2 linked regions of the Cricetulus griseus genome follow. The protein of the gene in region 2 interacts with the protein of the main gene of each other region in a biochemical or structural test. Links are inferred from orthologs where the notes say so. Each region holds a gene or a part of one and is shown on either strand. Other genes may lie near its edges.

What was found. The genes of interacting proteins can lie anywhere in the genome.
Region 1: the proteins of Klhl12 (region 2) and Lnpk form a complex in vitro, tested with the Homo sapiens proteins (2 studies listed by BioGRID, with this or other methods). The link is inferred for Cricetulus griseus from reciprocal best matches to the Homo sapiens genes KLHL12 and LNPK.

What each region holds. Positions count from the first base shown.
Region 1 is NC_048599.1:100,589,216-100,592,652, reverse strand, and holds the end of Lnpk (endoplasmic reticulum junction formation protein lunapark), read right to left. Parts: intron 2,131-3,437; coding exon 1,892-2,130; 3' UTR 616-1,891; downstream 1-615. UniProt on the Homo sapiens protein: Endoplasmic reticulum (ER)-shaping membrane protein that plays a role in determining ER morphology. Involved in the stabilization of nascent three-way ER tubular junctions within the ER network.
Region 2 is NC_048598.1:54,767,186-54,770,842, forward strand, and holds part of Klhl12 (kelch-like protein 12), read right to left. Parts: intron 1,422-3,657; coding exon 1,272-1,421; intron 1-1,271. UniProt on the Homo sapiens protein: Substrate-specific adapter of a BCR (BTB-CUL3-RBX1) E3 ubiquitin ligase complex that acts as a negative regulator of Wnt signaling pathway and ER-Golgi transport.

The sequences.
Region 1 (3,437 bases), on a different chromosome or scaffold from region 2:
TAACTATCATTTCACGGGATCCAGTACCCTCTTCTGGCCTCTGCAGGCACCTGGCACACATGTGGTATACATACATATTCAAGTGAAAAATTCATATTCATAAAAATAAACACCTTTTATAAAAGGATTATATTCCATAGTTTCAGTTCTCCATTTCTTTTATCTATCACTTAAAGACATGTATATGACATTAATACAGAAAACTGTTTCTGTTCAGAGCAACTGAACTGAATGATCATGGTTTTTAAATTTCATTATCTGCCATAGACAGAATCTATGGGCCTTCCATATTTCACAAGGGTTTCAATAATAATAATTAATATAATAATAAATCCTACCATGTAACCTAGTATCTACTAATTATCCAGCAAGAAAGCTAGGCACATCATATAAATTATTTTTAATCATTCAAGTACCTATGGAAAACAGATATTATTCTCCCCATTTTATAGGTATGCAGAGAGGTTAGGTGAAATGCCCAAGATTACAAAGCTGACATTCAAGTCTAGTTCCACATGCTTGAATTTATGGGCACTAAACTAAAATGCCTTAAACTATTAACAAACTGGGTTCTTCAATATATGTCACATGAGATATTAAACCATAAACATAAACTTTCAAATTATAAAAAGAATATTTAATTTAAATGAATATTTACAACCAAAAGATTAGCCAGATACATTATGCTAACATGTCTCCCTTATAGCATAATAACTTCATTTCTAGTTGTTTCAATATTGGAAAAGACACATAAAAGAAAGCTAGAACAAATTATGATATTATATTTAAGAATAACTAGTCTATACCAAAAATCTTCCCACCTGATCCTTGGGATACATACTCAATCCAGTGAGTTTTATTAGCAGTTAACTGCCTACTCCAAAAACGTATTTGTCTCTCAAAGTTAAAAACTACAAGTGGCATAATGTGTTTCAAAATCCAAAAATGCTAACTTCTGATTAAAAACATTAAATTTCTTATTTCTCTGAATTTGAAAGTCTAATAAAAAACAAAAACATCATAATTTACTATGTATTTATCATACAGAGGACTCTCCTAACAAGATTTTTTTTCAGATAGCTAGTCATCCATCAAAACACTATGTGAAGAAAGTCTAGATATTTAACAAAGAAAAAACACTGCCAGGTCATCTTTATTTTCCTTAACAAAACAAGCACACAAAAAATTCATTTATATATCATCATTATTTTACAAATATAAATAATACCAAGAATTCAAGTACAGTCAAATGCAGATGCAGTTCCTATTTGTTAATATGTAAACATAAACTAACTATATACATCACGTGGCTTTGGCCCAGCTGCAAAACAAAAGACATCAAAAGAAACTCTGCACTTGACTGTTCAGTTGCATTCTTCTTGAGAATTCGTACCAATGCCTATGTAAATAAGGTTACAGCTTTCAGTATCACTTAATGTAAACACCTAAATAGATATTTCCTTCCCACTGGCAAATATCTCAGGAGTTAAAATTTAATGATGAAGTATTCAAAATCTTAATTATATTTCAATCCTTAAGCACTATTAAAGAAATTATTCCTAGCCAAAATTGTTCCTATGTCAAAATGGATATTATTTACAAGTTATAGATGTAGAAAACAAAAATGTTTCTTTTCTTTAAACTTTAGAATGCACAAAGTCTCTAACAGCTATGTGGGTCTCTGCACATTCACTGATACCACGTGCTTTTACTTTCAATGCCCAGTTGATGGGACTTGAACACACTGAACTTGCTAGGCAATTTGAATTTGAATAGCATTAAGCATATATCTAAAAAGTAATTTTTTTGAGTACCACACACAAAAAAAAAAGCAATAACTGACATCAACAAGACTACAAATAATCCAGTTGAAGGCACATGGGATTATTTACTATTGTGTCACCAAAGATTCTCCACTTGGTTCAAGATTAGAAACAGAGTCAGCTCTGAGAACTGTTGACTTGGCTTCGTCTGTTGATGCTTCCTCTTTCTCAGTCTCTTCTTGTTTCTCCTCTGGTTCCTCTGAACCAGATGTTTCTTCAATCACTTGGCTTGTCTGCTCTGTCACTGGTATTTTGTCATCTCTCTGCTCTGTACTATTATCAAGAACATCTTGTCCTTCTAAAGATTCTGTAAAGAGAAAGACATCAGACTTCAGGAATATCCATATGTCAAGACTGCTAAATAAGGCAAAATCAAAGATAAACAGACACACGTACTAAGAAACAGTAGAATTGTCTATTACCTTTTAAATCTTCTACAATAAGTTCTTAACTCTCTAGCATATCACTTAGGTATTAGTATAACTGACTAATTGGAGGAAATAAACCCATACTTTTATAATTTCATATACATTAAGCTTCTAAAGATACATCTGCAAGCTCAATGTTCAAAATTGAGCCCTGGCTCCAACAGGATGAGAATTTATAGTGCATTGAATTTTTTTTTTTTTTTTTGACAACTTGACACAAACAAGTCATCTGGAAAGAGGGAACTGAACTGAAGAACCACCTCCATCAGACTGGCCTGTGGGATTGGGGCATTTCTTGATTAATGATTGATATGTGAGGGACCCACCAGCCCACTGTGGACAGTACTACCCTTGGGCAGGTGACCTTGAGTTAAATTTTTAAAAAGCAAGTTGAGCAAGTCATGGGGAACAAGCCAGTAAGCAACACCCCTCTGCAGTACACACTTCAGTTCCTGCCTGGAGACTCTTGAGTTCCTGACCCAACATACCTCAGTGATGGACTGTGACCAGGGAGTTGGGAGTTATAAGGTGAATAAACCATTTCTTCCATGAAATTGTTTTAAGTGTTTTATCACAGCAATAGAAGACAATAAGACTCAAGAAAACAAAACAAAACAAAATGTATACTCTCCCCTGTTACTGAACAGAAAATTGTTTCCTTACACCTAAGCAAAACTGTAAGCAATGTATAAATGTATGCTTTTGTGTATATGCATATATGTACATGTATGTATATGTAGACAGGATTCTCCAGACCTTATATACATCTTTATTATTCAAGGATGAGAGAAGTCAAAATCCACCTTTCCAACTGTATGTCTTGTCTTTCTTTATCCCTATCCAAGCCCTCACTATTTAAATTTAGGAATTAGAATATGCTACATACTTTAGTGTGCTAGAACAAAGAAGAGGTCTTTTGCCTTCTGTCTATACACGAAAGTTTGTCCCTACATGAAAATTTACTCCCTTTGAATTCTAATTATTTTTTAGTTTTAATTTAAATCTCTTAATAACAAAAAGTTTATTAACTTTCTTAAACTCTTTAAATATTAAAGAATAAGGTGGGGAAGGGAGTGACAGAAGCAGCGAAAGCTTTGAGTCATCTAATCTTCAAGTCAAAGGCGAAAATCTAGCTTTAAGCATTTCCCTTTATTTCATAATAAACTTAATATTCTTGCTAGCAGAA
Region 2 (3,657 bases):
AGCTGACTAATTCTTTTTCATTTATAAAAGTTTAGATTTTTGATTCTTTTTTTTTAGGATTTATTTATTTATTTATCTATTTATTTATTTATTTATTTATTATGTACACAGTGTTCAGCCTGCATCCCAGAAGAGGGCACCAGATCTCATTATAGATGGTTGTGAGCCCCCATGTGGTTGCTGGGAATTGAACTAAGGATGGAAGAGGTTCTTAACCTCTAAGCTATCTCTCCAGCCCGATTTCTGATTCTTTTAAGATTCCTCATAAAATTACCTTTTGAGATAAGTAATAAAATGATCGATCCTTTCTTTGTTTTTTTGTTTTTTGGTTTTTTTTGGTTTTTCGAGACAGGGTTTCTCTGTGTCTCTTTGGAGCCTATCCTGGCACGCCCTCTGGAGACCAGGCTGGCCTCGAACTCACAGAGATCTGCCTGCCTCTGCCTCCCGAGTGCTGTGATTAAAGGTATGCACCACCAACGCCTGGCTCAATCCTTTCTTTGTAACCACAAAATGCAGCCTGCCAATAAAAGAACTGGCTGAGCAAAAATACCTTGGTTGCTTACACTCTGTTAATCTGTAACAAGTTGCTGAAGTATTGAATGTACTGGCATGCTCTGGCTTGCGTTTGGCTGGTGTTTTTCTAATAAAAGATATCCTTATCCCAGGATCCTTTTATTTCTTAGTATTTGGCGCCCAAGGCCAGGGGCAACAAGGCAGGGAGGCCAGAGAGAAGGGGCTCCCATGTGCCTTGCAGCCCCGTAAAACCCTATCACTCGTCTCCTGACCTCACCTTGACCACGCCCTAACAGGCGTGGTCAGGCACACCTGTAGCCAGCTTCTAGCAGGTGTGGTTTACACTGCCCCCTACACACAAAATTAAATTGTGGATTTACATTTGTGACAGAAGCCTGACATGCTAAGCAATTAACATTTCTTTTTTTCATGTACATTTGTATTTTGTTTACATACAGGTCTGTGTGAGGGTGTCAGATTCCCTGAAACTGGAGTTACAGACAGTTATAAGCTGCCATGTGGGTGCTAGAAATTGAACCCAGGTCCTCTGAAGAGCAGCCAGTGCTCTTAACTGCTGAGCCATGTTCCCAGCCTGCAATTACCTTTTCTTATACCTAAGAAGTTCCCAGCTTTATCTCTCCAGCATTCCTGCTGAAGGGAACCAGGTGACCCTATGTTAAAAATATTGGTTTTCAATTATACAAACTAAGCTGTGGAGTTAATGAAGGTTCTGGATACCCATAGCCTTACATACTTACCTCAGCATCTATCACATCTGTAATGTACCTGGGGGTCAGCAGGGGCATCCGAACATACTGTAAGAGGTCAGGCAAGGATTCTTCTCGCTCCTTCTTGGAATGTTTCACCCAGTTGATAACAGCCTCAAAGACTGGCTCTTCAGAATCCACCTGCAAATGTACACTTGTACATCATGGATTTTTGCTTTCCAAGTTAGAAAGTTTCCCACAAACTGAAAAACAACCATGCTTACTTTCTCCTTTCTGCTCCCTGTTCTCCATTACTGTTATTTCCCATCTTCCAGAAATGTGGAGATTCTGGGAAAACAATCTTTTCAGATACAGGAAGAGAATTATATGCAATTTAAAAAGAACTAAGACAGATAGTATTTAATAAACCATCGGTCACATGTTGGCCTTCCATTGTATCCATTCTTGAATTTTTATATGGTCTTTTCTGGAACTTCAGTTAACTTTGTATTCACAAAGTGAAGCAGGAATTTCACTTTATCATCATAAATAATGCTGCAGCTTTCAAAGCATGGCCAGCATTTCATCAACTATTATATGCTAGATTCTGTGCTGTTTGTGACATATAATTTCAGATATATATATATATATATATAATATATATATATATATGTGTGTGTGTGTGTGTGTGTGTGTGTGTGTGTGTGTGTGTGTGTGTGTGTGAATACTATGGAACTTATATTATATATGCAAGTAGATAAAGTAAGATACACCCTCTAAGTCTATATTATGCCACCAGAAAAGCAATAGGTACAATAAGAGTTAGGATTTTCCAAAGACAGACAGACACCTATATGTAGGCCCAATGTTCTCTCAGTAGTCTCTGGGAGTGTGTAAGCTGAGGTATCTTTCAGTTTGACTGACTAGATGAAAGCAAACAGAAACACCACCTGGACATGGCTCCCCACAGCCTATGGTATTTTGGAAAGCAGACATGTTTTGGCATGTCCTTTCATTTCATGGAATTACAGAACTTCTGCTAAGTGCTAAACACTGACCTTAGTGACACTGATTACATAATGGTAAACAAATCAAGTACAGTCCTTGTAGGCCAGGCTTGACCTTCATCTTATCTGCCCATCTCACCCTTCCTAAGTGCTGGGACTATAGGTGAGGGCTACCAACTATAAAGTTGTATGCTCTTGGCTGTGATTAAAATTATATAGGAAAACAGCAGTTATAAGACAAAAGTAACAGAAAATTTCGTCATTTAGATAGATAGAAGGAATAGTATAAAAGCTTAGATTATTGAATTTACTTTAAACTAAAAAGCAGCTATTAATCTCAAATATTTCACACTGATAAAGATTTTTGTATACTGATACAAATTTAAGGTTATTTTTGTTATAATGTATATGTTTCTGCTCTTGTTTAAGGTGTTTTACTTATGTACCTCATTTAAAAATGTAATGCATAATTAAGAAATACAGTAGTTAGTCATCTATAATAAATTTGTAGTTATGTTTTAAGGTTAAACATAGATATAATTTAGATAGGTGGTCTTCAAACACTTCAGAGACCTATAGAATATAGCATTTAAGATGTCTTAATATCGTGAGGCTTTTCACGACAGTGAGGCACATCTGCTCATGACAGCATCAATTTACTTCAAAAACGGATAATGGGACTCAAAGAACCTCCAAATGGAGTTTGCTTTTGTTGTGGCAAAGCTAGTTACTGGGCAAGAAACTGCCCTTGCATCGAATGCTGATGGTTTGCTGTCTAAACTGGATGAGCAGGACACAAAAGAACTTTGAACTTTTTCAGCACAACTGCTGAACTCTGCCAAGACAAGGTAGGACTGTCCTTCAAAAATCCTGCTTCACAGAAAAGTCTGTCAGATATTCTAGGCCTGTAGACTAAAGATGGATGCCACAACATTGAAGAGGAATTTCAGTGACTGTCCAGGCAGCCAGCTGCTTCTGTCATGTCTATAATTTTGGAAGTTGTTTGCCCTGCAATTCCTGTTTACTCAGGTAACATTATATCCTTCTTCCGTCTCTGACGGAGCTGAAGATGAAATGGTTATAGTTACAGTTTTCCTTGTTACCAAATTCAGAAAAGAAACTCACAAAAGAGGTAAAAAGGGTGTAAGATTGAGAGACATAAAAGCTTAAATTATTTACCTAGAAAATGTTTGGAGGTCTAAAAAGATAGTTTGGGGTTGATAATACAAGTTAGGATAGAAAGTGAATTAGGGACAGGCGGTGGTGGCGCACACCTTTAATCCCGGCACTTGGGAGGCAGAGGTAGGCCGGATCTCTGAGAGTTCGAGACCAGCCTGGTCTACAAGAGCCAGTTCCAGGACAGCCTCCAAAGCCACAGAGAAACCAAAACCCTGTCTCGAAAAACCAAAAATAAATAAATAAATAAATAA